Linked DNA regions of Struthio camelus. The protein of the gene in region 3 interacts with the protein of the main gene of each other region in a pairwise test. Links are inferred from orthologs where the notes say so. Each region holds a gene or a part of one and is shown on either strand. Other genes may lie near its edges. The genes, in order: DAO, RHEBL1, PRKAB2 and STX11.

Region 1 (7,444 bases), on a different chromosome or scaffold from region 3:
CTACAAATGACCTTCTTCATGCAGCTTGTTTACAGCCCAAAAAGTCATTGCCAGTCCAAGGTTTAATTGCCTCAGGCAGAGGGATCACGATCCGCCCCCGGCACTGGGCAACAGGATCAAAGTCTTTGCCAAGGGAGGTCCCGCTGAGGAGGTGGAGCGCCCGCGCCGGCCAGCCCCGGTGCCCGCAGCGCGGCTGGAAACCTGCCTGGAGCCGCTGCTCCAAAAGGGAAAGGGGGTGGCCGCAGTCCCCTGCAAGGGGCCGTGGCGGCACTTGCCTCCATGGGTACTTCACTGCTGGGATGGAGGAGATGGGGCCTGGCGAGGGGCCGCGCGGCCGGGGCTCCTTCTCCCTGGATGCAGGAGAAGTCGTGATGCTTTGGGCTCGGTTTTCGTGCTGCAAGAGAGCAATAGCCCTTGCGTCCTCTAGACAGACACCCCGGAGCCGTGCCATCCTGCTGCCCGCTCTGAAGGGTTCAAGGGCTTCATTTCTCATTTTTACGCTCGTTTTTCTCCCTTCCTGAACGCCAGCGTTTTGCGTTCTGGGCTGACGAGGCAGGTTTCTTTCTGCGCGGATACAATTCCTGCCCGAGGAGGCAGCCCTGGAAGCACAGGCAGTGCTTGGACCGAGCTGCTGCAATTAGGGATTTTGCTGAGGGCTGCAGGAACTGCCTGAAGCTTTTGTTAAAAGTGGCAATGAGGGTAAAAAAAAAAAAAAAAAACGGGGACTAATCTACATAGTGAAGTTTAAAACACGTATTTGGACTCCCTGGCCCAGGATTTCCATCTGGGGAGAGAGGTGTTTTGTTGCAGCGTTGGTGGCGGTTTTACCGGGAAGGAGCGCGCGCGGCTGGGGATGCTGCACCCAAACGCTGCGGCGCATTGACCCCCGCCAGGGAGGACGCGGCCGCGGAAGGAGCTGGGCAGACGCGAGCCGCGGGCGCCCGGCGAGGGGAGGTGAAGTCTGCAGGCTCACCTGGGTGAAGCCTCGTCCGGCCCTGGGCTCCGCCGTGTCGCCACCCAACTCCCTATTTCCCTGCTGTTGCAGAGACAGAGGAGGGGGAAAAAGCAGTTGTTTTGAGCCCTGAATTATTAAGGGCTTTACATACAATCAGCAAAGCCTATTATACTAATTACCCTATTATTCGCCCGCCTCTTGCTTTTGGCACCGCTGACCCCCTCACACTTTCTTTGGGCCGGGTGCGATGCCCGTTCCCTGCTACGGCGCTGCAAAGCCGAGGTGCTCGGGGTGCACCCGCGCGTCCCGCGAGCGTGGGGCGACCTGAGCTGGGCCCCAGCGGCGCCAGCCCGAACCCCCGCCGCGCCCTCGGGCCGGCTCCGAGCGCGGGGGCCCAGCCGGGCCGTGGGGAACCGTGCGAGGGGCCGCGACCCGCCGTGGCCGCTCTTTCGCCCGGACGACGCGCCCGTTTTGCGCGCCGACGAAGGCGGCTTCGGGCCGCCGGGTCCGCCCCGCTCCGTGGAGGAGACCCCCGCGGAGGGGAAACCCCTCCAACGCCCCCGCAGCGGCCAGGCCTGTGCTACGCGCGTGGCCGTGGGGCGGCCGCCTCGCGTGGGGCCGCGGCCGAGGAGGCCTGAGGCGGCGGCGGCGGCGGGGCCGCCCCCTTCTCCCCTCCCCTCCGGCCGGGCGGCCGCCGCAGCCCCTCCCCGGCGTGCGGGCCGGGCGGCGGCGGGCGCCGAGGCTGCGCAGCCGGCGCCGCGCATGGAGGCGGCCGGCGCCGCGCTGTAACCGCCGCCGCCGCCACCCGCCGCCGCCATGGCGCTGGTCACGCTGCAGCGCTCGCCGACCCCCAGCGCCGCCTCCTCGGCCAGCACCAGCGAGGTGAGCCCGGCGCCGCCGGCCCCGCAGGCCCCGGGCGGCGGTGGAGCCCGACCCGAGCCCGCCGGGCCCGTTCGCAGCGCCCTCACCCCCCTCTCCCAGCCCCGCGGGCCGCCCCATGGCCTCCCGCCGCCCTCCCGAGCCCGGCCTCAGCTCTGCTCTGGCCCCGCTGCCCCTTCGCCTGGCAGCCCCCTGCTCCTGCCTCTGCCCCCCCCCGGCCCCCCTCCTCGGCCGGCCCCCCCCCCCGTCCGTTCCCGTCCCCCCGTCCTGTCCCCCCCCGTCCCCCCTCCTCAGCGCCCCCCCGTCCGTCTCGGCCCCCCCCCCCGTCCTGTCCCCCCCCGGCCCCCCTCCTCGGCCCCCCCCCGTCCGTCTCGGCCCCCCCCCCGTCCTGTCCCCCCCCGTCCCCCCTCCTCGGCCCCCCCCCGTCCTGTCCCCCCCCGTCCCCCCTCCTCGGCCCCCCCCCGTCCTGTCCCCCCCCGTCCCCCCTCCTCAGCCCCCCCGTCCTGTCCCCCCCCGTCCTGTCCCCCCCCGTCCCCCCTCCTCGGCCCCCCCCGTCCTGTCCCCCCCCCGGCCCCCCGTCCTGTCCTCCCCCCCGTCCCCCTCCTCGCCCCCCCCCGTCCGTCTCGGCCCCCCCCGTCCTGTCCCCCCTCCTCGGCCCCCCCCCGCCGTCCCGGCCCCCCCGTCCTGTCCCCCCCCATCCTGTCCCCCCCCCGTCCTGTCCCCCCCGTCCCCCCTCCTCGGCCCCCCCCACCGTCCCGGCCCCCCCCCGTGCCCCTCCTCGGCCCCCCCCCCTTGGCTCCCCCCATCCCGTCCCGTCCCCTAGACAGTTGTCCCCAGCTCTGGTTGCTGCTCGCCAGCAACTTGGGCTTGCTAAAACCCAGGGCAGCCTGCTGCGCTCTGTTTTCGGTCAGCTACATCTCCGTCCCCCCCCCCAACCAAGCAGCAGGTTTTCGCCCAGCGGTCCGCGCTGCTTGGCCCCTCGTCTCCTCCCTGCCCGACGCCTGCGCTGCTGCTGCCGCTCTTCACCTCGCGCTGTCTTCGGCGGTGCTCGGCCCGGCTGGCCGCGTCGCCCTGCGTTACGCCTCTGCTGCTGCGCAGCCCCTGCTGCGGTAATGCCTCCTCTTTCCACAGGCGCTGCAGCGTGCCCTCGCTCCTGCGGCGAGGGGAGCCCGGCCTGCCCCTGCCTGCCGCCCCCCCCCCCGGGACGGTCCCCCCGGCTCGGTCGCGCTCCACCCCGTACCTGGGATGCTGCCGCCCCTCCGGCACGTGCCGCGTAACCCGCCGCACCTGTAACGCTCCTCTGCGCCTCCCTGGCCCTGACCCGTTGTGTTTTTTCATGTTGCGGTGGAAACCCTTTGTACCCCCGCTCTGCTGTCCTTCTCTTCTGGCTTATTCCCCCGCAGCTCGTTCTCCTGCTTCTGCCTCGCTAAGCCCTTTCCCTGCCTTAGGCTTCGCGGCCCAGGTTAGCACTCTTCCCTCATCGCGTTTCCCATATGCCGTCCAAACGCTGCAGCCCCCTTTGATAATTTTCCTTCTTCCTTGTGCATCCCTTTCTTTCCACGTAGCCTGACTTTCTTCTGTGATTCCCCCAAAGGCAGGCCCAGCGTTTTTCTCCCTGTCCTTCCTGTGCATCCCTCTCTCCCCTGTCCTTCCTCCGGTGCTCACTGCCCTTGGCTTTGCTCTGCATCCATTCTCCATCAGGTAAACAATCCTATTTGTCACCTGTCAGGTCCCTGTGACTCCCCCGATTAGCTCATCTGAGGATGGGGGAGGCAAGCGCTGCCAGGGTCAGAGGCTCTCCCTCGCCGAGAGGTGCCCGTGGTTTGCTTTATGCGCTTCGTGTCGTAGGCAGTGACTCATCCCTTCCTTTCTCTAATTTTTCTCCTGTAGATCCATGCTACGTAGTTGGGGTTTCTGAGGCTGCAGGGAGAGAGTATTGGAAACGTGTTGTGTTCATTGAGAAACTTGGAGACGTTACGAGAGAGATTTGTGCTTTTCCAGTTCTTTTAAGGAATTGCATTGGGTTCTGTTCTAGACAGCTCTTACAGGTTAAACTATTGAAGGGGACAAGATCTACTGGTCATCTGACCTACACAAATGTAAATGAGCTGTAACCCTATTGCAGTCAGTGGAATTAGGCTGGATTTAGACTGGTGCAGGTGGAAAAGTAATCAAAGTTGTATGTCCCTACCTTTTCATATACACCTGCATTCGGTGCTGCTTGTATAGGAGCACTGTGCTATTTACTTATTTTATTAGGGTGACCTTAGAGGTCTCCCTTGCTCTGTAGAAAACCTTGCCCTGAGCATCACGTCTGATGTTCTGCGCGGCAAGGCGCTTCCTGCCCGCACGCGTCTGCGGGCCAGGTATACCTCGGAGGCACCCAGAGCAAGGCATCAGCTCTCGTTCTGTTTGAATCGTTCTTTCTGGCATAAAATTCCATAAAACTATAAACAGTCCTTTTGAAAATTAAACATGTTGTTTTTCTTCCTATAAAGTTTATTTAAAAGAAAAATCCCATCAAGAAATGTCAGTGTTTTCCCTGATGTTTTATGATCTTTATTGCAAGAATGGCTTTACAGGCCCTTCAGGGTGTGAGCCTGTGTGAAAAATTGTTAGAAGATTTTTAAAACAGAAAGTGAAGACCAAATATCCTTCCTAACTGTAAGTTTTTTGCAGCCTGTCTTAACTCATAAACCTGAAAGAGTTTATAAATGGATGCTGCTGTCCTCAAGAGACTTGCAGTCGTGCCAGTGTAGCATGCCAAAAATTCTCAGGGGTGTTTTATCTGAGGAGAGAGTAGTTAATGCACTTTTGCAAACTTGCATGCACTCAATTAGCTCAGCTGCCGTCTCACTTCCACACCCGCTACATCTCCGTGCCAGGTCCTCGTCCCCGCTGCTCCGGCTCGGCCGTCAGCTTCGCCCAGGGCAGGCGCGGGGCCTGGGGTGAAGCCATCTGCAGCGCCGCGGCCTCCGGAGACCTGGCTGATGCCCGTGCCGACAGGGCGTGCTGCAGCGGGGCTGCTTGCTGCAGCTCCAGAGCAGACCAACGTTATGTTATAATGTAAAACCTGGCAGCTCGGAGGGATGTTCTGACCTAAAAGCTGAACCTCGTTGCTGAGGTTTCTGCAGTCTGTAACGCTGAGTGCTCCTGCCTTGTTTTGGTTTTTACTGCAGCCTTTTAAATTAAAATAAAGGGGCAGTCAAGTTGAAACCAGGTCAGCTTCTGCGAAAGATGAGCCTGAAGCAGATTCGGAGACGGTCTCTGCTGTGGAATCTCTACTGACAATCTTCATGATTTCACGGTCACATTTGTTTAAAAAAGTTTTTTTCTCTCCCCTGTTGCTATGTGACAGACCCAAACAAACACAAGATCTGCTTCAGGAAGGCCACAGCCCTGCCAGGCCTTCCCAGGGCAGGGGTCTGCCCTTCGAGGAGACTGGGGATGCCTCGATGTCCTCGCGGCTCGGTCTGCCGCCCCGTCCGGGCGGGAGCATGGGGGCCTCCCTGGGGCTGCACTCAGCTGTGTTCAATGCACAATGTAAACAAACTAAAAATAGAGGCGGTATATTTTTCTCCAGATCTCCATCAGCTGCAGTCATTTTACACGGGTTTTGTATATATCTCTTCCTCCAAAGGGCTATATAGCATCCGGGCTGCACAGTTGCTTTTGTTTTCCTCTAGCATTATTTGTTCTTGTGCATTGTAAACAGTGCTGCTCTTGTGAGCTCTGACCTGCTGAGCCTTAGTTCGAGGGGCGTGTGGGACGTCCCAGTTCCTGCACCCGCATGCACACACTCAAAACTTTTAATTTTGAATGTTTTACATGAAAATATTTGCTTGTTCTTGCGTTTTACAAAATCACCTGGAGACAGGGAACCCTTATTGTAGCCCTATTTGATGTGGGTTTTAAGCTGTGCTGTTGTAAATAACAAAATGTGCTCTGAGCACTAGACCTGAGGGAACCTGATTTCTAACAAATTTGTGTCTCTCCAGGTTAAGTAGGCTCTGGTGTCCAGTATGTTGCAACTTAGAATGAAGGTTTTTCCTTGTTGCAGGCCCATCTATGAAGTCTCTGCTTTGTGGGCTCTCTGAGATCTAGCTGACCAGCCTCCCAGGACAACCTTTTGCTTTGAAGGGATACTGCCTGGACTTTTCTGTCTGGTTATCTCTGGAAGAAATGAGCCACTATATATACGTTTTGTCCAAAAGTTAATAGAGAAGTTGAAGAAGGTGGTTGGAAAGCAGAGCTACGTGAAAATGTTTCCCTGGAAAAGCAGGCTTAAGTCAGCTAGTATGCTCTGTTTTAAGGAAAGTAAATAATACTTAAGGCTCAGTAATGTCACCTGAAAAGCCAAGTTTGCTTCCAGGTGCAAAGTTTCCACTACTGTCTAGTGGAAAAGCTACTGTTTTAATAAATCCCTGCTGTTCAAAATAGCATATTTATCAGGAACGCTGCAGCTGTAGAACCTCCTGGTGGCTGAGCAGTCCCACCACATCTTCCCAGCCTCAGGACGTGTCTTCTGCCAGGGATCAGGAGCCCACTTTCCAGGCGGAGGTGGGCCTCATCGGCTAGCTGGCAGCTCAGGGATGGTGGAGGAGGCTCTGCTGACTTGCGAAGGCTCCCTTGGACCCAGTGAGCTGCAGATTAGTGCGGGGTTGCTCCCTTGAGGCTGGGCCAGGGGAAGGCCAGGAGTTAGCTGCTGGAGGCTGGGACAGAGACGGAGATAGGCAGTTTTGGCTGCTTCCACTGGAGGGCACTTGTGCTGTCACTGCACACCATGAATTGCAGTGTTAATTTATGCCCCACTCTTTGTTAATGGTATTTCACTTAGGACAGATTCTACTCGCACGTGTGCGCTCAGTAGGAGTGATACGTGCCTTCTTGGTAACATCTAGGTTTGCGACCTTTAAACTGATCTGCACGCTAGGACCAGCTTGCAGGATTAGGGCCATAGACTTTAAAATCCCTGTGAGCCCCTTTGTCACCCAGCACTGGGTGCTGATTGCTTATATGGCTGAGGAGTTTCATTTATCTCAGACACTGGGGAAAAAAATAAGCAGTCCAAAAACCAGCCACCCAAACCCCTTTATTGCAGTGATTGCACCAGTGATGGTGCATGAGGATCTTTTAAAGTTGTAACATGGCAACAAACAGCATGTAACTTGTTCTGTTTCCTTCTTTTCTCCCCTCAGCTGGAGGTTGGCAGTGATGAAGAACGTAAATTAAACGTGAGGTAAGCAGAGCCACTCGGCCCAAAACATTGTTTCCACTGTTTCTGGTTGTCTGCCGTGTAACGTCTGTCTTCTGATCTTTGGCCAGGACCTGAACAGAGCTTTGGCCGGGAGCAGGTATGGTTGCCTGGAGTGGGTTGCGTGGTCAGGCCTGCAACAAGCAGAGGTCTAGAAACTGGGGCTGGTCTTTCCCTTATCGGTTTAGTTTTGAGATGAGCATTTAATGAACTGAAAGCATACAAGAGGACTTGTTTTTTTTCCTGTCGGGCGCAAACTGGAAAATTGCTTATCAACTGTGGTCGCAAAACTGTTATCTCAACATCTCTGTCTTCTCCGCTGCTTTGAGATTGGAGATTTGGAGGGCTACACTGCT
Region 2 (7,602 bases), on a different chromosome or scaffold from region 3:
TATTCAGCTCCTGCTCCGCGGCGGCGGCTCCGGGAGGACGACGGCAGGAGGCGGCGGCCGGAGGAAGCGAGCAGGCGGCCGAGGCTCGGAAAAGCCCCGCTCCCGCGGCGCGGGGGCAGCGGAGCCGGGGAGCAGCTCCGTGTCCGTGTGCATGGGGCCGGATGGCGGCTAGCGGCAGCGAGGAGCCCCCGGGCCGGGCCAGGCCCAGCACCCTCCACGGCCCCGTGACCACCACCGGCCCCCGACGCCTGTGCAAAGCGGCCCGCCGCGGGCGGCCACACGTGAGGTGCGGCATCGGGGGGCACCCGTACGGCAGCGGGACCCGGCGGCCCTGCCGCCCCCACCGGAAGGTCCCACAGCAGGGGGGGTCCGCCCCGGGCAGGGCTCACATCAGGCGGCAGTTGTGCTCTTTGCCGTAGGAGTTGTCCACGCGGTCGATCTCCTCAATGATCTTTGTGAAGATGCCCTGGGTCACCTGGGGACGAGGAGACGTGAGCCCCCGGCCCCGAGCCGGCGCGGCTGCCCACCCCACGCGCTGCCCTGCCCCGACCTGGCTCTCCTTGGCCGAGGACTCGAGGAAGATGGCCCCCCACGACTCCGCCAGCTTCTTGCCTTCGTCCGTCTTCACCTCTCGGCTGGAGAAACGGCAGAGGAGGGGAACGGGCAAGAGGGGCCGGGTGGTCGCCAAGCCTGGGGGGCGGCAGCAGCCAGCCCCGGGGAGGGCGAGGGGCCCCAGCACCCTTCTTACCTCTGCAGGGACAGGTCCGCCTTGTTGCCGACCAGCACCACGGGCATGCTGCAGGCGAGGGCAGAGCGTGAGGGCTCCCGGCACCGCCGGCCCGGGCTGGCGCCGGCCGGCGCCGGAGGGGACAGCACTTACCGTGTCTTCCCCCTGCTCTCGTACAGCTTGTTGTGAAGAGTCTTCACCACCTGGAAGCTGCAGGGAGAAGAGGGGCTCCCAGCGCTGCCCAGCAGCACCCAGGCAGCCCCCGGGGCGGCCCAGGCCCACGGGAAGGGACGGCAGGACGAGGGGCAGCTCGGGAGGGCTGGGGCCGCTGTCCCCAGCCCCGCCGCCGGCGCTCACCTCCGCAGCGATGTCACCGAGTACACCAGCACGTAGCCGTGGATGCCGATGATGAAGGAGTGGGGCAGGATGGTGTATTCGTCCTGGAGGAGGGTGGGCGGGTGGGCTTGATGCCGGAGCAGCCCCTCGCCTCCCCGGGGGGCTACGCGCCGGCCCCCGCCCCAGCACCCCGCCGCTCCCGGGTGTTACCTGCCCAGCCGTGTCCACCAGCTGCAGGTGGAACTCGTCCTTGCCCACCATCACCATCTTGCTGTAGGCTGCGGAGATGGTACTGGGTTAGCGGGGCTGCCCACGGCCGCCTGGGGACTGGTGTCCTTCTGCATGCTCCAGGGCTGGCCTGGACCAGCCTCCTGCTGTGCTTAGCCCCCTCCTTGCCAGGGCGGGATGGGCCCCTCCTGCCCCAGCCAGGGCCCCCGTCTCACAGCCACCAGCTTTGGGACAGACAGGTGCAGCCCAGCTTCCCCCAGCCCAGGGGGTACCCGAGCCCTTCCCAGCACCCTATAAAGGGCAGCAAGCTCATGCCAGGGTCGAGCCATCTGCAGACCCCGGCCGGGTCCCTGTAAGGTCTCAGGACAGCCCATGGTCCCCCCAGAGCTGATCCTGCCCAGATCCCTCCCGCTCCCACACGCGCCAGAGCAGGGACATATCTGTGCTCATCACACGTCTGCGGGAAAGGACGACCCCAGGCAGGGCGGCCCCCCAGCCTGGGACTCACTGCTTTCCACCGTGGGGTCGTAGCAGTCCACAAACTTCCCCTCCACGAACTGGTGAGCCAGGGAGGTTTTGCCTGGGGAGGAGAGTGCGAAAGCCCCAAGCTGAGTGGGGAAGCTGGGCTACAGCCCCTCCCCAGGCAGGGGGTCCCAGGCACCCCCCAGCCACAGGCAGGGAAGAAGCATGGCCAAGGGAAGTGAGCCATCTCCCCATCATGTCCCCACATTCACTGCCTCCTCCCCAGCCCAGGGACTCCCCTGGCAGGGGGGGGTGATGGGGGACTCCTGGGGTGGGTGCCCAGGCTGAGCACAGCCCCCACCCCCAGCAGGTCAGGGCAGCCCCCGCTGCCAGGGGCAGGAAATCCGGTGTGCACCAAGCTCTTGGCAGCAGGAGCCACCCCAGGCATCCCCAGCCTCCATGGAGGGGCCCAGCACAGCCCCTGCACCGCAGCCCCTGCACCTCCCCAGCCCCTCAGCAGTCACCCAGTGCACAGCCCCACACAGGGGGCCTGGCCATACCCCCAAAAGCCTCATTGCACAGCATCTTCCCACCCAGGCACACCCCACCAGGATCCCCCTTGCACACCCTGCCACAGACCCCCCCCTTGCACAGCCCCTCTCCCCTTGCACACCCTGCCACGGACCCCCCCCCTTGCACAGCCCCTCTCCCCTTGCACACCCTGCCACGGACCCCCCCCCCTTGCACAGCCCCTCTCCCCTTGCACACCCTGCCACGGACCCCCCCCCTTGCACAGCCCCTCTCCCCTTGCACACCCTGCCACGGACCCCCCCCTTGCACAGCCCCTCTCCCCTTACACACCCTGCCACGGACCCCCCCCCCTTGCACAGCCCCTCTCCCCCTGCACACCCTGCCACGGACCCCCCCCCCCTTGCACAGCCCGTTGCAAGGCGCCTCCCAGCGCACGCCCGGCCGTACTCCCCGCCGCCCTCCTTGCAGCCCCGTTGCGCGGGCGCCCCGCCGGTGCACAGCCATGCCGTGGCACGGCGGGACTCACCCACGGCCCGGTAGCCCAGGATAACCACTTTCCGGTAGCGCACCAGCGGCATGGCCCACGCCGCGCGGGGCGGAGGCGGGCGGCAGGCGGGCGGGGCGGCGCGGGCGGGCCCAGCAAGCGGCGCTATAAAACCGCCCGCCGCGGCGGGAGTGCAAGGGGGGGCGGCCCCCGCCGCCACAACACCGGCCGCCCCACGTGACCACAACACCGCCCGCCCGCCGCTCCCATTGGCTACCCCGCGGCGACGGGGGCGGGGCGAGAGGGCGGCGCAGGCGCGCTGGCGGCCGCGGTTCCATTCATGAAAACGGAGGGAACGGCCCGGGCCACGTGGGTGCCACACACCTGCGCCGGCCACGTGGGGGAGCGCCCGGCCCCAGCCCGGCCCCGGGGACCCCCCCGGAGACCCTCCCCGGGGACCCCCAGCCCCAGGACCCCCAGCCCGGCCTCCTTCAGCCCCTGCTGCCCTACAGACTTCCCCACCCTGGCCCTGCCCCTCCGGGGCTCCTCCAGCCTCTGCCCCCCGGGACCCCCGTGCCCAGGTGCCCCGGCCAGGCCACCCCCCCCATTGCCAGTCACCTTCCGACAAGGGCCATAGATTCTCTTTATTTACCAAAACAATTAAATAGTATTATTTTTTTAAACAGAAATGGTTAAAAGCACATTTGCCGCCTGCCCTGACGGAGCTGGCCCCGCTGTCCAGGCAGGTCGGCGTGGAGGACATTTATATTACCATTTATAAATAGAAAAATAAAACTCTCAAGCAGGGCAGGTTAGCGGTTAGCGCGGGTTAGAGCTGGGCCCGGTGCGGGGCAGCCCATGGCTGCCGCAGGCGCCCCGTCCGCCCGCGGGGCGGAGGGGGTCCCCTCCCCGCCTGCCCTGCGGCACCGAGCCACGCGGGGACGGGGCTGGGACACCCCGGCTCACGGCGGTGCAGGCCCAGAGCTGGGGGACGGCCAAAACGCCGCCAGGAGCTGGGGCACTGGCTGCTTCCACAACCCCGGGGCTGGATGTGGCCCCAGGGCAGGTCCCCCAGCGCCCAGCTTCAGCTCACCAGGCAGCAAAGCTGTCCCCAGCCACAGTGGTTAATAAAGCAATAAATACAGGGGGGCGCGGGGGCCTAGGTCGAGGGTGCAGAGCCGTTCCGGGGTTTTCCAGCCAGGCGCCCGGGCAGTGCTGCGGGGCGGCCCCCAGGATCCGGGCAGGGGGCTGAGCCCCAGGTCCCAGGGCTGCCCACGATACCCCGTTCCCAGCCACCCCGGGCAACGCTCGTCTTGGCAATGCTTCGTGTGACAGCAGGGCCCAGCAGGCACCCCGGCCTCCTCGGGGCCCGGGGATGTCCCTGTTCCCCCTCCCCAGCGCGCCCAGTCCGAGGCGGGGGCCGGGGACCGGCTGCACCCTCGCTGCCTCCCGCTTCCAGTGTGGCACATTAAATATCTGCAGTGTGGCGACTTTGGGGGCCGGGGGCCTAGGCCTGGAGGGCTTCGTGGCCCAGCACACCCCAGGCCAGGCGGTAGAGGAGGCGCGAGTACCAGTGCATGCCCGCCTCGGGCGCCGTGCCGTTGCCCGCCTCGGCGCGGGCCGGCAGCAGCGAGAGGAGCCCGTGGAAGAGGCGCAGCGGGGCGAAGGCCCGGTGCGCCCAGCGGTGGCTCTCCAGCACGGCGTAGCAGGATGCCAGCACCCCGTTGACCAGCAGCGTCCCGTGGGAGGTGAGCGGGGCGAAGACGCCCACGCCATCCTCCCGCGAGACCCGCAGCACCCGCGCGGGCCGCAGCCCCTGCCCGCCGGCCCCGTGGGCCAGCACGGCGTCGCCCGGGCGCACCCGGCTGGCGAAGACGGGCAGGAAGGCGGCCGTGCCGTTGGCGGTGCCCCGGGCCGCGAACACCAGGTGGGACGGGGTGAGGAGCAGCCGGCGGGCCGGGCTGGCCGTCTCGATGGCCACGAAGGACGTGCGCTGGCTCAGGTCGCGGTCGAGGAAGAGCAGCACCTCGGTGGGCACCAGGCGCCCGCCCGGCTCTGCGCCCAGCACCCAGTCGCCCCGGCGCAGGTCGGAGAGGCCCCTGCGCTCGCCGCTCCGCAGTGTCACCGTGGCATGGCCTGGGAAGCAGCCGCCGGTTCGGATGGCCAAGGAGTTATCTGGGCGGAGGGAGAAACCCATGGGTCCCCAGCACCCCTGGGGGGGGCTAGGAAAGCCTGGGAGCCCTTGTCACCCGGCGTCCCTGGGGCCATCCCTGAGGGCCGGGCCCAGCGCGCCCTCCGCCAGCTGCTACCTGGCGGGGACAGCAGCTGCCCACGGAGGGGGAACAGCCCCGAGCGGAGCCCTTTGGACCGGACCTTAGCGCACCGCCAAGACAAAGCCGGTATTTGTCACCCCCCCGCAGTTCCTGCCTGCCCGCTGCGAAGCCCGGGGAGACGGCGGGGCTGCAGAGCCCCTTTGTGCTGCCCGCACTGACGCCCTTTGTTCCGCGCTGGCCCCGCGCCGCCCGGGCCGCTGGCATTTAGGGCCACTTTCACTTTCTGTTTATTGTCAGCCCTGCGCTGGACTGAACTGCACGGGGGCTGCGGCACGGGCAGTCCGGCGGGGCTGTAATTTAAAAATACTTATTCTGCTCCGTGCTGGAAAGGGAGATGAGCTTCCAGATGAGCTTCCAGGGCGCTTAGGGCTGCACAGGATTGCGGGGGGGGGGGCTATGGTTTTTGCCTGTCTGGTGGCCTGCAGAGAGCTGAGCTGCAGCCAAGCAGGGTCTGCGCGGCTGGGTCTGGGCACGGGCTAGCGGCAGCCCCTGCCGCAACCTGGCTGCGGCGTAAGTGGATCCAGGACAGGCAGTGAAACTGAGGCTGGCGGGGTAGAGGGGCCTGTCTGGGGCACCTGCCCCTCGCACAGGCTCGCGCTCCAGCCCTGTGGGAAGGGGCACGTGTCCCCCCCCCAGCCCGTGGGCAGCCCTGGGGCCCTGCCCTCCCCGCTGCGCTGTACCTGCTTTCACAGAGACGTGGACGTGCGCCTTGGACTCGTAGTAGACCCAGTCGAAGCCGGCCTCCACGGCCAGGCGTGCCAGCATGCCGTACTTGTCCCGGTCCCGGTCCGACGTGGTGATGTCCAGCGCCCGGCCCTCGTAGTGCAGGGAGTCGGGGAGGTGGTGCCCGTCCTCATCCCAGCCCTCCGTCACCCGCAGCTTCACCCCCGGCCACATGTTCATCACGGCGATGGCCAGGGAGTTCACCCGCTCCTTGCAGCGCTGGGGGCGGTGGGGAGCAGTGCCGGCGTCAGCCCAGCCCCGCCGCTGCGCGGGACCCCGACACCCAGCGCCTTCTGCCCTAGCCGCCCGGGACCCCTCTCCCAGGGAGATGTTACAGGTGCAGACGGACAGACGGACACCCAGGACCTGCATGGGGCTTGCAAGGAGCTGGTCCCAAGTGGCTCCAAGGGGGGTCCCGAGGTGGTGCCCTCTCCCCAGGGGCCCCTAGAGTGGGTGCAGGGCTCAGGGAGCTGGGTCTGCTCCAGGCCCCAAAGCAGAGCCCGCCTGGGCGGGGATTAAACATTAACGTGGCCCGGGGTGCCCGTCGCAGGTGTCGCTCCCCTCCAGGGCAGCCGGGCGGAAAGGGCACGGGACGGTGCCCGGGTAGCTCCTTCCCCACGGCTGTGGCTGTGATTAATTAACCCGCTGCTCCCAGCGGGGAGGCCCATGGGACAGGGCTGGGGGGAGCGTCCGACCCTGAACTAGACCCGTCTCCTGGCACTGGGATAGGACAGGGCAGGATGGTGCTGCCGGGACCCCTTCGCACACAGCAAAGGGAGCAGGGTCTGAAGGGAGGGGGCGTCGGGGGATGCAGGGCTCCTGGGCTGTGCGCCCAGATAGGAGGTGGAAGGCGGGGGGTCCCGGGCGGCTCCAGGACGCCTGGGGCCCTCTCCGCCTCAGCTGCGGCTGGGCTGGCACGGGCTGCAGGGCGCCGGGGTGCAGCTGCCTGGTCCCCCCCATCTCTGCCTCGGCGGCTGGCGGCCCGGTGCCCCCGGCCCCGGTGCAGGGGGGCTGCGGCGGGGCGGGCGCGGGGGCGGGCGCGGGGCGGCCCGGCCCGGCCGGGCCCGGGGGGGCAGGAATGCGGCGGCCCGGCCCGGCCCGGCCCCGACAATAGGCGCCTTCGAGCCCGGCGCTGACCTCAGGCCCCGGGAATGCCGCGCCCGGCCACAAAGGGCCCTTTGAGCCGCCCGCAGCTCCGGGCCGGCCCCGCGCCCGCGCCCGCCGCTGCCGGGCCGGCGGAGCCGCCCGGGGCCGCTCGCAGCATCCCCCGGCGCCATGGCGACCGCGGGGCCACGCGGGACAGCCGCGGGGCCGAGCGCGACCCCCCCCCCCCGCCCCGCTCCCCGCCGGGGGCACCGGCTCCGCCGCGCCCGGGCCGGCCCGGAGCCGCCCGCTGCCGGCGGAGCCGCCGAGGGACCCCGGGCGTCCGGCTCCCGGCTCGGGCAGTGCCTCAGTTTCCCCGCTTGGGGCAGACAGGCGGCTCCGCCGGGGGAGGCAGGTGCCCCGGCGCCGGCACAGAGGCGCCGTTCCCCCCGGTCGGACCCCTCCTGCGCCCGCCGCGCCCGGGAATCCCTGACGGCGGGTCCTTAATGTCTAACTCGGCGCGACCGCCCCGTCCGGGGGTCCCGATCCTGCCGCCGCGCCAAGGGCCGCGGGAGGAGACGGGCCAAGGGGCGGGGAAGGCACCGTGCGCCCCCGGGGGGGACCGTGCCCCCCTCGCCAAAGGGTCTGTCCGCACCGGGAGGGGCAGTGCGTCCTGGTGAGGGTCGGTGCATCCC
Region 3 (7,954 bases):
AGCTCTCACGTCAGCTGTTACTACCCCCTCAGACAAAACTGACTCCGCACAAATTGTCTCAGCTCAGCTAGAACCACCCCAGCAGAGCTACCCCAGGGGCGAGCTGAAGCACCAGCCAGGACCTCAAGCGGAAGGACCGGGAAGGCAGCGGCTAGCCCATACCTTGGAGTCATGAGAGCTGAAAACACTGGGGTCGTCGGTGCTGCCCACCATGATCTTGTGTGGATGTTCTTTGCTAGAGTGGGGAGCACCAGAGCCATCCGAGCGGTGGGACTTGGAGCCATGGCGCTCCCCAGACAGTCGCTCGCTGGTGGTGTTTCCCATGGCAGCTCAGCAGCAGCTCTGCGGGAGAGAGAAGATGACGATGTTCCTATGCCCACGGGCTCCTGCAGTGAGGCAGTGAAGGCAGTGTTTCCCAACATCCTTTGCCCGGGGAGACTGACAGCAATCCTAAAAAAGGCTCAAAGTTCATTCCCACTGCCAAGTTTGAGACCTGAAGGGGAATTTAACAAACAAGACAGCTTGAGCTAATTATAGCCATATCCTTATGAGCCGTTGCTCTAGTCAACCCGGTAATTGTTATACTCTAAAACAGACACAAATTGCACTGCATCCTACACAACCCTCACCAGCCAGCATAGCAGAGGGGCTGATGGGAAAAATAAAGCCAACCTTTATTGGCAAATCAATTGCTTGACATAAACAGAGCCTCTTTCATAGTCCCAACAGACTCTGCAGACAAAATCTCTATTTCCAGCAAGAAAACAGCCAAGGAGTGAGAGTAGCAGCTGTTTAACAGCCCTCAGCAACTCTCTAAGGGCTCGCGGGCAGACGAGCAGAGCCTTGTGCCTGGCAAAAGCAACAGGGAGCGTTTAAACAGTCTGAGTGGAATTGCCCAAGCTGGAGCTTGGCCAAGGCATAAGGCTAATGCCCTGGTGTCTGCAGAAAGCTCAGCTCTTGATGGCATTCACTTATCATTCACCAGGCAAGTGGCCACGTCAGCTCCGGCACAGCACAACAAGGGGCGTCTGCTTGCTACAGCCCTCGCCAGCGGCACTACCACGAGCGGTCAGACATCTGGCTGGCCATCCAGAGGCACATCATGAGTGAAAGGTAAGCCTGCTTGCCTCAGCACTGCTCTGCAGGTGGAGATCGGGCATCATCCCCAATTTCATCCAGTTCAGGGAATGCAAAGCAGGAGGAACTTGCCCTATGGCAACAAGCCACTAACAACTACACACCTCTCAGGGCAAACAAAGCCATCACAAGTTACATAGGTCTCTTCAGGCCTGCTCCAGGCCTTACCCAACTTGCAGCAGCGGAGGACTGTGGGCCTTGCCCCTTTCCCAGGTTTATTCTGTAGCTCACATGCTTTCAGTCATACTACGCTGATTGCCAGCTCTGTGGGCAAGGCAATAGGACGGCCAGCCTTACTTCATACACTTAGTTGTGACATTTGAGATTTGTTTAGAAGGTCAGGTTATACGTAGGGTGCCAGGCGAGGCTGCCAGCCAAAGCCAGGCTTCAGAACATTACTTGCAGAGCAATTACTAAAGTATTTCTTAAATCCTTAGGGCTAAAAGATAGCTCGAGAGGACAGCTAGCACATACCACAGCCCCCCCTCTGAGCTAAGATCAAGTGTACCTGAACAGCCCAGGACAGGAGAGGTGCTCCACTTGCTCTGACATCTTCCCCCTTTCGCCTAGAGGAGACTGAACCAGCTCCTCATAGAACCTGCCCCTGCTCAACTATATGTGGTATTATGAAATTTCTTGCCCGCTATCTCGGCCAAGACTCTCTTAACTTCTCATCTACTAGCAGCAAGGTAAGAAGGGCTGAACAAAACAGATCTGAGAGATAACATGCAGACTGTTTCAGATTTGAAAGCTCCCCCTTCTCTTTTCTAGAAGCAATCCAATCCCTCTGAGTCTCCCTCGGTGGCCACATTCTCTATATGTTCCCCAAGATTTCTCCCAGGTGGTTACTCCTTTCCAAAATGTGACATCCAAAGCTCAGTGCAGACAAGAAGCATCTCCTGCCTCCTGCACACAGCCACGCTGCTGCACTGGAACAGCAACATCCTTCTGCAGCAACTCGCTTGCGGCTTGTAAATTCCTGTGGCCAGTCCATTTCAGTGCTCTGCGAGCACAGCCTGCTGTACTTCGCTTTACTGAACTAACTTTTACCAACTGAATCCTCCAAAGCTCAGCCACCCCTTGTAGCACAGCATCCTCTGAGAGTTTGGCACAGGTATCTTCTAACGCATCATGCAAGTCACTAATGACAACACTAGCTTCGTCTGGCCCCTGCTTCCCCCCGCTTCCTCGTGGAAATGACAGGCGAGGTGCACAAAGCCCTCCTATACCCACCACACCTACTGCTTCTCCCTCTTCCTTTGGGCCAGCTACCCTGTCACAAAAAACACGCCCGAGCCATCCGAAGGGATTCGTTCAGCGGAGACCACCTTGCTGTTCGGCGACAGTTGCCCACAGCCTGCTCCGTCGACGCCTCTTGGCACTGAAGTAAGCCAAGAAAGTTTCATTTCACTGGATTCTCCTGCCCCCCCTTCTCTTAGCAAACGCAACAAGAGCTCAGTTGGCCTGATGATGATGATGCTGACAAGCCGGGAAATCAGGGAGAAGAGAGCGTCTCATCGGGGATCCGCGGAGCGCACCCAGCGGGGCCGAGGCCTCGGGCCCGGCCCAGGCGGCGCGGGGCAGAGCAGGGCACCCCGCGGCCCGGCCCGCAGCGGCCCCGCCACCGTCACCCGCGGGCCCCCGCGGCGCGGTAACGCCCGCCCAACCGTCCCCTCGGGGAGGCCCGGCCACCCGCCAGCCAAGCCCGCGCCACGGGCAACCAGCCGCCCCCGGCCCCAGCACGGACAGCGACGGCCTCGCCCCGGCCCCACCTGCCCGCCGCCGCCGCTGCCGCCGCCTCCTCCCCGCTCTCCGCCTCCGTCCAAAATGGCGACACCCCCCTCCCGCTCCCGCCTCCTCTCCCCCCTCCCCCCGCCGGCCGCCACCGCCAGCCTCCGCGAGACGTTCTGGCCCGCCCACGCGCTGCTCTCTATGGCCGCGCCCCGCCCGCCCGCTCTCCGCGCCTGCCCGGGCCCCCAGCGATAAGAGGGCGGCCGCCCCGAGAGCAGGCCCGGCGGCGGGAGTGGCCCAGCGGGGCTGGCAGGAACGGGCTTCCCCAGCCCCGCTTCTTTGCCGCCGGGCAGCCTCCATCTTTTTGGAGGGCGGCCTGGCTTCAAGCAGATGTCGGTGCGGCAGCGGGCGGGCGGCAGCCATTTTTGTTAGGGGCGGCCGGCCTGGTGCGCGGCCATCTTGGCTGAGGGCGAGTGGGCTTCAGCGGCGCTCGGAGCGGCCATGTCGGTTGAGGGCAGGGCCGGCCCGGGTGCGAGGCCCAGGGGTGGCGGGGCCTGCAGGGGACTGGCCCGGGCACGGGGCTGGAGACCGGGCGGGGGCGGCCCAGGAGGTCACACAGTGTGCTCAGCGATGCCCTCGGCCCGCGGGCGAGCTTTATTGCCCTCTTCCCGAGGGGCCACGATGGCGGCGGGAGGCGAGACAGCTTCTCTCTGGGAGGCGATTTCCTCCGTGCCGGCCGAAGCCCGGAGGGAGGGAGGACGAGCGCGGGCAGGACCCCGTCTCCTTGGGTCGGCGGGTCAAGGAGAGAGCGAGACGTAGACGAGCGTGGCCACGATCAGGCCGATGCTGAGGAGGACCTTGAAGGCGTGGGGCACCAAGGTGGTGCGGGGAGGAGCGGTGCCGTCTCGGGCTCGCAGGGCCTTGACGACGCGCTCCCGCTGGGTCAGGATGGCCTGCCGGGCGCCGGCCCACCTCCCCGGCCCCTGCAGGCGGTACTGGTACGGGGTGCAGGGGCCCAGCAGCACCTCCGTCGCCAGCCGGGGGTCGGTGAGGAAGAGGGTGAGCAGGTTGGGCTTGACACCCAGCTGGCAGGCGAGCTCGTCCATGTAGGGGATGTAATCCACCTGGATGGTGTGCCGCTGGCTCCGCACGTACCTGCGGGAGGAGGTGGACGGGCGCTAGGGCTGCAATTTTGGGGGCGTGCCGAGTGGGGAGCTTCAGGGCTGGTGGCAGGGTTGCTGGGGCTGAGGGTGGCGCAAAGTGAGCAGGGATGGAGGAGAAGGGGGACGGGGCAGCACATCCCTCTCAGCGGGTGCGGGAAGGCGGGAGGGACCGCGGGATGCAGGGAGGGCCGGGAGGGGACAGGACCCCGCAGGCTGCCTCACCGCCGGCGGCCGTGCAAGCCTGGCCCCGTTTCCCGGCGGGGTCTTACCGCTTGGCCATCTCTTCTTTCTTGTGGTTGATGTCAGCCTCCATGTCGCACCTCGGAGGCAGTTTGTTCAGCCCTAGAGGGGAAGAGCCCGAGCGGGTTCAGGTTTCAGGCCTGCGGGCCACAGGCTATAGCTGCGCGGGGGGGGGGGGGGGGGGGGGCGCTGTTTTGGCTCGCTTACCCTTGAAGACGCGGGTGGCCCAGCGGCACTGGAGCTCGGAGATGGGCATGATGGCGCCGAGGGGCTGGATGAGGCCGATGAAAGCCAGCGTTGGCTTCTGCAGGTCGATGGGGAACATGAATTTGTACAGGGAGATCTGGTTCTCCACCACCGTCACGCAGTCCTCGAGGAAGGGGAAGGAGAAGCTGTATCCTGTGGCGAAGACCACGGCATCGATGTCGTCTTCCTTGGTGCCGTCCTCGAAGATGGCGGCAGTTGCTGTGAACTCGCGGACGTTTGGCTTGACCTTCACCCTGCCCGAAATGATGCGGTTGGGCAGGTCATCGTTGATGGTCGGGTGCTGGTGGAGGATCCTGGAAGAGCACAGAGAAACCTTGCAAAGGGCATGGGGCAGGCATGCGGCAGCTTCTCTGGGCCATCGGGTGGTGCGTCCCAGTGCCTGGTGCAGGACCCGTGTGTCATCCCTGCGCTTACCGGTGCTGGGGCTGCAGGCCGTAGAGCGCGTGGTCGAACCGGGCATTTATCTTCCTCTCCAGGATGAAGCTCCCAACAGAGAGGGGAACGAGGCTCTGGAGGAGCTGGATGAAGCGGGTGAGGTAGGAGAAGTCGAAGGGGTAGCCGCTTTCGGCGAGGCGGTGCAGCACCCAGGCCCCGCGCCTGGTGCTGAGGAAGACCTGGGAGGGAGGAGAGGGGAGGTGGAGGTGCCAAGTGTGGCATGAGGGACAAGAGCTGTGTCCTGAGAGCCGTTTCCTTTGTGCACCCCCGTGGAGGCATGCGAATCCCCTGCGCAGCACCCGTGCAGCTGGGATCAGCTGGGAGGGGGTCAGGGTGCCGCTATGGTCCCAGTCAATGGGTGGTCCCCTAAATTATGCGCTGGCTCCAGGCTCTGTGCAGCAGCCAGAGGACAGGGCTGTGTTCTTGCTGTGCCCCTTGGACGTTGGGGTTGTTGACACAGCTGCTAGGGTGACAACGACCACCCTCTGCAAAGGGGGTGGGAGATGCTCTCAGAGGGATATGGCACAGCAGGGAGGGGAGCCTGCAGGCGATGGAGGAGGCTTGCCCCAATACCCTTTGGGATTAGGTTGCTCTCTATAAATAAACACAGCAGCGAGGGAGAATAGCCTTTTAAGCTGAAGTGCAGCATTGGCCTGAAATCAGACAGGCCTGCATGGGCCAGGAATAAATATAGTCTGGGAGCGAGATGAGGGAGAAGGAGCGTGCCTGGCCACTGGTCGGCTTTGGCAGCACAGGCACAGGGTGAAAGCCCAGCCTGGTTTTAAATGAGTCTCTCCTAGGAGATGGACAGCATCCCCGTGCGTTTGCAGCCAGCCATGCTGTGGGCACACCTGCTTTGCTGTGTGGCCCAGCTCCACAGCAATGTCGATGCCTGAATTCCCGGTGCCGACCACGATGACGCACTTCTCTGAGAAGGCCTGCGGGGTCTTGTACTCCCGGCTGTGCAGGTACCAGCCCTTGAACTTTTCTAGCCCTGGGAGGGAGAGCAGAGCAGAGCTGTGCCAGGGAGGGACCACGGGGCGAGGGGGTGGCTGTCCTCCGGCTCGGGCTGGTAATGTGTTTTGGGAATGAGCCAAGCCCACTGTGACCAGCAGGAGTGATGCAGCCCTGGGACAGCGCCCAGAGAGCTGGTGGCATCTCCACCCTGGGAGATGGTCAGTGGGACATGGCCCAGTTTGTGGAGCAGGGCTGGGACCGGAGACCCATTCCCTAAATCTTTTCACAATTCAGCAGTATCTGCCTGCAGAGCAGAGCAGTTTGATCAGATGTTGAAGGCACTGTGAGAGCCTCGTGGCAGATAGACCACTGAAATGGGTGGGATTGCAGCTTGTTGCAGTGGGGATTGATGCAGGAACCCACGAGGGGCGTTTTTGGCAGCAAGCACAGTGGGGTCAGGGCTAAGCCTAAAGAGACGAGTGCTTTGAGAGGCCTTGGGAAGCAGGTAAAGGGCCCACGGGGCCGTGAGACCCGCGGTGGGCCCAGGGGAGCCAGCGCAGCGTACCTGGGAAGGTGTGCAGCGGGAGGTGCGCGTTGGTGTGGTGCCCGGTGCACACCAGCACAGCGTCGAAGACGGCCGACTCCTGCTCCCCACCGCTCTCGGTGACCACGTCCCACTGGCCGGTGACGGCAAAGTCGGGGCGCTTTGCCACGCGGCACACGCTGGTCTGGGCGCAGGGGGCAAGGAGCGGGCGTCAGGTTGCGCCCAGCCTGCCCAGGGCACCCTGCACCCCCCGGCCCCGCGGCGCTCACCCTGAAGCGGATGTATCGGAGCAGGTCGAAGTGCTGGGCGTACATGCGGAAGTACTCCATGATCTTGGAGTTGTGCATGTAGTTGGGGAAGTCGTCGGGGATGGGGAAGTCGCTGAAGCACATCATCTCCTTGGAGGTGTTGATGATGACGGACTTGTAGATGCTGGCGCGGCCCTCATCGGGGTGCTCCTGCGGGATGGGTGGGCACGCTCAGCACCTGCTGGGACTCCCAGGGGCAAGGGACGGGGCTGCGGGGTGCTCCCTGCAGGCGCTTATCTGGCTCAGCGTATCTCTGCCTGTACCTCGCCGTGCCTGCGGGGTCTATCAGGCCCTACCTGGGAGCTGGAATAAGCTGCAGCTGTTGGGAGCTGTGACAGCAGTTGAACCAAGACAGCCCAGGAAGAGATGGAGGGGACTGGGACTAGGACAGCCTGGGTCTGGAGTGGGGACTGGAACTGGAACTGGAACAGCCTGGGAAGGGGCGGATGGGAAGGCCGAGCCAGGACAGTGAACGTTGGCCTAAGGGCTGGCCCAAGCAGTGAGTCTGTGAGGAAGGTCCTATCCCGCTGCTGCTGTAAAGGAGACCATTCCCATGTGGTCAGCACATGAGGTTGTACTGAGGGAACATCCTGCTGCCAGAGCAGTTCTTCTTTTCCATGGTGTGCCTTGGAAGCAGCAGGTGGGACCAGCCACCCCGCAAAATGGGAGAGGAAGCTCTGAACTGGTATGAGGAAATGCAGCAATGGCAAGCAAGGTGTGCTCTGCAGCATGGTGGGCAGTTCCGTGCCTCGACTTCCCCGCTCCCACCGGTGCCCTGCTTCCGTGTTTCCTTCAGGCTTTGCTATGGGGCTTGGTGGTGTCCTGGAGCGGTGGGGGTGCTCGGACCTTGATGAGGTGGCATGCTCCTTGGGCGTCCGCCATACCATCGCCCTTGCCCCAGCAGGGTTTTCAGGCTGCTGAACCAACTCTGGTGTTTCCGGCTCAGCTGCCATTCCTGCTCTCAGGATGATTTCTGCCTGACCTACCTGCCAGCTCAGCTTCTTGCTCCCCTGCGCTCCACCGTTGCTGTTTCAAAGCCACTAGGGACAAAATCAGTGTAATTTCAGCCAAACAACGCCAAATCCCTTTACTGGCATGGTGCAACATCCCGCCCAAGGTATCTGGGCACATCAGCAGGACCTGTCTTTTGAGGGCTGTGGGAGGTGGTTCCC
Region 4 (7,750 bases), on a different chromosome or scaffold from region 3:
GCATCATGTTTTGTCATCTCAGCACTACAGAGATGACCAAAGAGTCAAAGAAAGCAAATGGACCAGATAAAAGATAATAGAGGGGCTATCTGGTCAAGCACTTTCATATTTGACACACCAGTTATCTTCGAACTATCATGACTGTTTTTGAATATGCCAATATTATGATGATTTTCTGTCAAACTAGGAGGTTATCCATATTTTTTATTAGCAACTTGGAGGATGAAACCAAGCATAAACCTGTACAGTCTGCACACTGAACTGGAAAGGGAAATAAACAAGCATTTGGTGACAGAGAGGAGAAATAATTAGAATTCAGATGATCTTGGCAAGCGTGAAAAGCGATTACAAAAATAAAAGGAAATTCAGTAGAGAGACAAACCTGGGATGGCCTATTTAGAAGATATTATTTGCACAGATAGGAAATAGGGAATACCTAGTTTGGTAGCAGGAAAGCATCAGTGGGGCTACGGCAGATTGCAAGCTAAAAAATAAGTTCACGATACCATGCTGCTTAAAAAAAAAAAAAAATCACATCTGGGCTGATGTGCCTTATATAACCGATAGCAAGGAAAGTACTGATTCTGCACTGCTTGGCATAGGCAAGGCCTCAACTGGAAGACTACATCCAGCACCAAACTAGGAACATTGCAAAATAACTAGAAACTGTCTACAAATGACTTTATGTAGACAACCAGGGAGAGAGACACAGTACTCCAGTATGTTAAAGAGGTTTACCAAAAGAGAAATGATCAGTTTTTTCCCTGGATCCCTGTTCCCATCAGAAACACACGAAGCAATCAATTTGATTCACATATGACATTTAGCAGGAAACACTTTCTTACTGGGAGAGGAGCTGAAAATTGGACCAGTTCTCCATGGGAACATTGTGGAACTCTCTTCCTTAGAGAATGAAGACAGGCTAAAAAAATCTCTTTCAGGTCTGGTTTACATGCACTGCTACAATGCACCAGAATGGATTAAGTAATGTCTTAAAATCTCTTTGTGACCCTATGTTTGCATGATTTTCTGCTTTAACGCTAAACTCCCTCTTAGTCCCTGTCTCATTGCACGTCTAGCATAGTGTAAGTGCGTGCCTATGCTAGGGAAGAATTCTGGTAATTTATTTTACCCAGTATCCTACTCTTTACCCTACTCCCTACTATTTTTGTACCAATGGCAACTAGCATTCCTCCTTTTAGAGCAGGTCTTAGTTATTGTTATATTATCATTGCATTTTGTCTCACAAAACGTTCCCTCTCACTTTCCAAAAACAGCATAGTGCAAAACAGAAAACGATTTCAAAAAATTTTAAAATGCCTTAGATATGGAGCCTAACCCCACAACATCAGAAATCTCCATGGCTATGTGATATAATATGCAACTCATTATGTTTATTTGCAGTGCCCAGAAGTCAATGTTATCGCACTATCCCTCTTGTAACATGTCACGAGATCTTCAGAAAATGCTTGTTTTCGTGATAAGGCTGTCTTACGACAACAGAGGTTAACTTACAGTTTTAGTCTCAGCCAAAAAGCAGATGTATGTGCCATATGACTTAACATGCAATTTCAGTTTCAGAGTAGTGGTGATTCCATGTAGTTAGTGAAAAAAACAGAGGTGAGAAAATGGTGTTCACACGTTGGGGTGTGGGGCATCTCAGCCTCCCTTTTTTTAGGTGTCTAACTTCAGTCTGTTCTTCTGAATGAAGAAAAATTGTAGTCGTCTATACCACTTCCATATAAAACTATTTAAATAGCAAGTAACACTATTATTAGGAAAACAGTATCCCTTAAATTGTACTCTCACCTTAAAGAGCTACATATTCCCATTTGAATCCCTTTTTAAAAGCTTCACAATAGTTCAAAAAATACTATCTAAAAACAGGAACAAGAACTTTGAATGTCCATTTTAGGCCAATGCTGTTATTCTAGTCATTTCCTTTCCTGGTACCACACAGTTGCTTGCATGCAGTTATCTCAGGCATACACGAGTACTTCGCAGGAAAGAAAATTAGTATCAATTACTAGGAAACAATCAAAGAATGCTAACTTCTGCAGTCACTCGCAGATCTGGCCATTCTGATGCAGAAGAAAGGCGTAAAAGCTATTATATTTTGCGTATAAAACCAACTATCTATAAAGTCTGCTCTGCAGCTATTCGTAATGACATATGAGAACTATGAATAAGTTTGACTTTTGAGTCAGACAATCAAGGCAGCTGGAAATTCAGACAAGCGTTCAGCCGGCATGAAGAGACCCTCAGGGGCTCGGCATTACAAACGCCTTTGGTTTTTGCTCGTCCTGCTACACCATGAAAAACCAACAGCAATCCCTTTTTCTCCTTAGGAGAGACTACAGCTGTAACACGGTAGCTAAAGCTGCGGGGCTTCAGACAGCAACCGCGCTCCCCTGCAACTTCCCCTCCGCGACGGCCGGGCGACCGTGCTGAAATGGGGCAGTTTCGCTTACTCTTACGCAAAACCGTATTGCAAAGCGCTCCGAAAACCACGTTTCCTCCTCGCTTACTGGCTAGACTAGGCGCAAGTGACGGCAGGAGCTGCGGCTCCCTCCCCGACAGAAAGGGATGGGACTGACCGCCGCCGCCGCGGCGTCCGGGCCCCGGCACGGCCCTCAGTCACCCTCTGCCCCGACGGGGCGGGCCGGGCCGGCCAGGGGCGCCGGCCGATGTTGAGCGGGGCTCGGGGGTGCGAAAAGGGCTCCGGTGCTGGGATCCGGCAGCATCTCCCCGCTGCTGACGGAGGCGCGCCCGTCGGGTGAAGGAGCTCAGCCGCAACCCGCTCCCCGCCCCCGAAGAAGGCGCCGTCTCCCCCGCAACCCCTGTTGCCCAGCAGGTACTCACCGCCCAGGCAGGACGGGACGGCTCGGCTCGGCTCGGCTCGGCTCGGCTCGGCTCGGCTCGGCCCGCGGTGCTCCCAAAGGTGCCGGTGCCGCCGGAGAGCCCGCGCCGTCAGGGCAGCGCTAATCTCCGCGGGGCGCCCCGCCTCCGCCGCTCGCCTCGCCCGCCCATTGGCTGCGAGGGCGGGGCGATTTGCATAGCGGCCGGTTCGGCCCGCCCCGCGGGCTGTCCATCAGGGCCGTCGAGTCGAGGGGCGGGCGGCCGCGGAGCGGCGCTAACCCCTGCCTCCTCCTCCTCCTCCTCCTCGCGAGGGGGTGGGGGGAGCCCGCCCCGTCGGTGCTGGGAAGCGTGGGTGGGCCTGCCTAGCCCTTGTGGCCAACCCTCACACGGAGCGAGCCTGCCCTTTCCTGCCCCCACGGACAAGCGGTGGCTCCCCGGGATGAGGAGGAGCCAGTGCCGACGGGGCGTCCTGGGGCCTGTGGGGCAAACTGGGCGGCGCAGCTGCCTCCCAGACCCTCCAGCCGCCACAGCCCTGGGCGCTTCTCAAGCCCGGACTATGTGGCAGGGAGCTGCTCGGTAACCCATGCACTGTGGTCACCGTCATAACGTGGGGCACGGCACAGGTCCGCACACACTCACTCCGGCTAATAAGTGGGTTCCTGTCGCAGCGTTTAGCCTCAGGTGGAGCCCTGCCCTGACGCGCGCTGCCCGCATGTAACCTGCTTGGCTTTTCTCCCGTCTGGACGGGCAGCCCTAACGCCGTCTTCCAGGCGGTGCTGCTTGCTCTGTCAGGCCTTAGCCTGCGCGGCTCACCATGCTCTGCGCCACCCCGGCGCACCGGCCGCCTCCACGCTCACCCTCACCTGCGAGGACAGTCTGCCAGAATCGCCCCCATGGCTGTCCTGGCACGGCAAGGCCTGTCGGGTCCCGCTGGCTTCAGTGTGTGCGTGCTGAAATACGATGTCAAAGGAGCATCTGGGAACGTACATCAAACAAATTACTTCTCTGTTCAGTGTGTGAAAAAGAAGATGTGCTCTTTGCACAATCCTTCAAAGAGTAGGGGTCAAATTTAGCCCATTTTGGGGTGGTGATTTGATCTCTGATAACTCCGGCCCTTCCTGAAAGACATTTTCCCCAATATTAGTACAAAAACTCTCGTGAAGCCACAAAGCTATTAAAACTAGCTAAAGAGGTTGTTTAAATCTTTCTGTGAAATGAAGCTTTTCCTTTCTTTAAGACCCATTTTTTTATGTGTATTTTTTTTCTCCCATTCACCACAAAAGTTAGAGATAATTTCAATCTGGAAAATTTAAAATAAAGAAGTTAGGTTTTTATTGGTGCCAAAGAGTAACTGAAAGAGCATCTGTGCTTTCCAGGACCATTCTCATTTATAAATAACAGGGCTCCAAAATTTCTTTTTAATAGCATCAATCCAATCCTGGGCATGACAAGAGAAAAGGTATTGATGATGGAGACTGTTGCAAAGAGGTACAAAACTTCCTCCCTCCTTATTTTCTATTGTTGCTCTTGTTTCAGGAAAAAAACTTTGGGAAGATTTGAGGTTTTATGGTTGATGATCAGTTAAAAAATATATTTGACACAGTGACTCTTTCTTCCTGAAAAAAAGGGAAAAAACCCAAAGCCATAGCTCAAGTTGTGCGTTTCTCCATTTGTAAAATAGTCACTCATTTTTTACCTGTAATCCATAGGCACTTTTTTTTTTTTAATATACATTTCCAACCCCTTCCTCTGGCAAGGGAATCCTCTTCTCTGCAAGCATGAAGAATTTCTCTGTTTATAACTTTGCCAAAAAGTACCAAGTGTGCCTTCTGTTGTTTCTTTGCATGTTTTGGGGCAGATTTCAGCAGAGCAGTCCAGGCATTTCTGGGAATACAGCTGGGAAAAAGTACATTCTTCACCTACCAAAAACAAAACAAAACTGTGGTGCCCTTCCAGATAGTTCTAACTACTATTCACTTTGGAATGGGGCAAACTGCAAGACTTGGAGAGCGCCCTTTAAGCCACACCATTCCTACAAAAATCTAAGCAAATTAGAAGGCTTTGAATTAATACAACAATCTTTGCTTATCAGCGGATGTTCATTTTTACAGCTCAAAATGGCTATATTCTTATGCAGCTAAGCTGATTCTGAGTCTTACCCTTTTGGTATTTCATATATATATATGTATGTATGTATGTATTCTTTGCATTTGGAGTCTTTGCTGGAATTTTTCTCTTCGTCCTTGATTCTGGAACTGAAGTTAGTGGGTTCCATCAGTCCTCTAAAACTACTGGAAGGCATTGAAGCATTTTTGGTTTTTTCTCTTCTTTTCCAAGGTGCTGCTCTGTAAGATTGACTACAGCATTCCAAACTTCCAGGCAGATAGCTTTCTCCTTGCCACTGGACTGCAGAAAACAAATGGGACCTCAGCGTTGTTAACGCAATCAGAGCTGAAAATAGAACTGCATGTTAATGCAACTTCATGGGTAATCAAAGATATATTCTACTTTGTATGACGCAGAACAACAATTGCAAATTAACCTGCTGCTGTTCCAGCAAAAGCAGTTGTCAGTGTATTAGTTGATGTGCCCAATGATCCATTCAAGAACAAAATGCTTGTCTCGGAACATCTGGTATCTGCTATATAGTTTGTGAAGAGGGTATGGAAGACCAAATAAATGAGCAGCGAGCCTCCTCTTCTATGGGAGAAACTTTTTGTTACTTCCTCAACAGCTGAGTAGGTGCAAGGTAGCACTACTGTTAAATCATTAACCATGCAAGAAAGATGTGAAGAGTGAGAGGACTTTATTTCTATAAATTCTGTCACTTACAGTTACCAAAATTAAAGAAGGTTGAAAAATTTCAGAGATAGCTAACTAATTAAGAAACCTGAATAGCTAGCTAAAAAAGTTCACCATTGACAAACAAAGAATCTGAAGTGCTTGAACACATGTTGCTAGATCCTACAAAGGCTGGCTATTTGCAGTGTTACGAGAAAAAAAAAAGCAGCTAAGTCATATAACAAAGACTGTCATGTCATCCTACACATGAAAGACACTTGCCTCTTTTAAGCTAGAATCTAGCATGCATCATATCAATGAAATTACCATTTCATAGTCCTGGACAAATAGCTTTATACTAATACCAACTTTTTACTTTTTAACCTCATGAGCCTTTAAATGTTCCTGAAATTGAATGATTTATTAATTGCCAAGATTAGTGGAGGGATACAATAAGAGACTCGTGCTATGAAATTCTTTCATTTATTAGTTTGCCAGGGAAAGTGAGTCTTCAGCTACAAAACTTCCATATTTCCACCTTGAGTAAGGACCAGCAAGCACTCCTACACTGAGTCTTTCACATTTTCTTTTAGCCTCTGGCAAAATCTACTGACATGACTGAACAACCTCCTCACTAAACTTTGATGATGTAAAAAAATCCTAGTTGGTTGTATGAGGAACGGACTATTGAAAAGAATTCAGAAGCCAAATATTTCTGCAGCTAGCTCAATCCAGCTTAATTCTTTGTCGAAGCCTGTGGAGTTATTTGGATTTACAAGTGATAACAGAAAGCAATATTCAGCCCTACAGATGTTTTTATTTTCACTTGCCTCTTTTCTCTCAATCATTAGGAATGAAGAAAGTTGTCAGAAAAGAATGCACTGCTGAAAGCTATACAGAGATAAATGCTCCAGTGTTAGAGAATGTCCCCACCTTAGGGCCTTTTCTCTTGCTTACTTAGGAAAGAATTTATCCTTTTCCAATTATGCCTGAAAGGCATGTGAAGCCAGCCCCAGGTTTAATGCCTCTGAATTCCTTGTGAACAACTTGGCACTCATGCATGGCTTTGAAGGTTCATTACACATACTTGAGTTCTTAAAGAGCTGCAAATATAGTTAAGATTGTATTAAAGGTCAGATTGGATGGAAAGACAATAGCCCTGGGTCTTGTGTTGATGCAGATGATGATGGCAGCTGCCAGCATGTTTTATTAACCTAGTAACTGATAAATGAACAAATTCAAAATATTTTCACATAATAGACCTAAATAAGTATAGTTCAGCTGAAGCCAATGAAGCAATACTGATTTCCATGAGCTGAAGGCCTGGCTCATTATGAAATAAGCCACTGAATGGCTATGCTGTTGTCATAACCTTTGAATGCACGAGTACCGCCCATATATACAATATGACAGAGATTCTATCATCTGGATTATTTCTGTTTGTTTGTTTGTTTTCTAGTCACATGAGCTGGCCTAATGAGAGGTATTACCGAATCCTATTTCTAAACTATAATAAAGACATTTAATCTAAAACCTCTATCAGGTAAGAATGAGGCATCTATTCTGTACATTTGCGTGCCTTTAGATTAACACCAGTTAGTCTCTGAAATATAGAGGATGCAACACTTTGTAACTTCACAGCGCAGAGACAAAGAAATCTTTGTAACAGTCAAGATGGAACAAAAAGCCTGGACATGAAGACACATACCAGGAGTTCAGATTTGGGTATAGTTTTAGTAACTAGCAGAGTCTAGAGGCAAGTTTGTATTACGAAAAATTCCATGCCTCTTTCTTCCCTCAACAACACTCTAAGCAGGAAAGAGCCAGGCTGTATATCAGGACTGAAGGGAGAAGTTGCAAGGGGTTAAGAGCATGGATGGCCTGCTAAGAGTGCTGTAGAGAATAGCCACACCTTTACAGAAATAGCCATCAGAAAATTAGAATGTTTCCATGGATTCTTGGAGCATCCTTTTCAAACAATCAGTCTTTCAGAGAAACAATTATATTCTAAAAACAAGTTTCAATGAAACAGAACAATTCTATACTAGAATTGTGTAAGTGTATGTTTTACAGAGCCATGTCGACGGATCATCTTATTCATGCTGACAGT

The links.
Region 1: the proteins of PRKAB2 (region 3) and DAO interact in binary tests that used the Homo sapiens proteins (3 or more experiments, as listed by UniProt). The link is inferred for Struthio camelus from reciprocal best matches to the Homo sapiens genes PRKAB2 and DAO.
Region 2: the proteins of PRKAB2 (region 3) and RHEBL1 interact in binary tests that used the Homo sapiens proteins (3 or more experiments, as listed by UniProt). The link is inferred for Struthio camelus from reciprocal best matches to the Homo sapiens genes PRKAB2 and RHEBL1.
Region 4: the proteins of PRKAB2 (region 3) and STX11 interact in binary tests that used the Homo sapiens proteins (3 or more experiments, as listed by UniProt). The link is inferred for Struthio camelus from reciprocal best matches to the Homo sapiens genes PRKAB2 and STX11.

Annotation. Positions count from the first base shown.
Region 1 is NC_090958.1:18,966,301-18,973,744, reverse strand, and holds the start of DAO (D-amino-acid oxidase), read right to left. Parts: upstream 3,011-7,444; 5' UTR 2,861-3,010; intron 1,838-2,860; coding exon of another isoform or gene 1,772-1,837; exon of another isoform or gene 1,655-1,771; intron 1,322-1,654; exon of another isoform or gene 1,135-1,321; intron 1,102-1,134; exon of another isoform or gene 1,037-1,101; 5' UTR 974-1,036; intron 600-973; exon of another isoform or gene 395-599; 5' UTR 276-394; exon of another isoform or gene 1-275. Other genes in the region: SSH1 (protein phosphatase Slingshot homolog 1), read left to right, coding at 1,772-1,837, 7,033-7,073. UniProt on the Homo sapiens protein: Catalyzes the oxidative deamination of D-amino acids with broad substrate specificity. Required to catabolize D-amino acids synthesized endogenously, of gastrointestinal bacterial origin or obtained from the diet, and to use these as nutrients.
Region 2 is NC_090969.1:932,982-940,583, reverse strand, and holds the start of RHEBL1 (GTPase RhebL1), read right to left. Parts: upstream 3,008-7,602; 5' UTR 2,863-3,007; coding exon 2,811-2,862; intron 1,872-2,810; coding exon 1,800-1,871; intron 1,342-1,799; coding exon 1,274-1,341; intron 1,168-1,273; coding exon 1,085-1,167; intron 938-1,084; coding exon 881-937; intron 797-880; coding exon 749-796; intron 636-748; coding exon 551-635; intron 476-550; coding exon 386-475; 3' UTR 1-385. Other genes in the region: DHH (desert hedgehog protein), read right to left, coding at 4,276-4,943, 5,782-6,043.
Region 3 is NC_090949.1:9,238,417-9,246,370, reverse strand, and holds the start of PRKAB2 (5'-AMP-activated protein kinase subunit beta-2), read right to left. Parts: upstream 3,002-7,954; 5' UTR 2,910-3,001; intron 2,693-2,909; exon of another isoform or gene 2,466-2,692; intron 2,430-2,465; exon of another isoform or gene 1,646-2,429; intron 494-1,645; exon of another isoform or gene 343-493; 5' UTR 325-342; coding exon 163-324; intron 1-162. Other genes in the region: flavin-containing monooxygenase 5, read right to left, coding at 3,666-4,023, 4,301-4,373, 4,479-4,831, 4,953-5,152, 5,825-5,967, 6,496-6,658, 6,744-6,932. UniProt on the Homo sapiens protein: Non-catalytic subunit of AMP-activated protein kinase (AMPK), an energy sensor protein kinase that plays a key role in regulating cellular energy metabolism.
Region 4 is NC_090944.1:84,731,371-84,739,120, forward strand, and holds the start of STX11 (syntaxin-11), read right to left. Parts: upstream 3,013-7,750; 5' UTR 2,863-3,012; intron 1-2,862. UniProt on the Homo sapiens protein: SNARE that acts to regulate protein transport between late endosomes and the trans-Golgi network.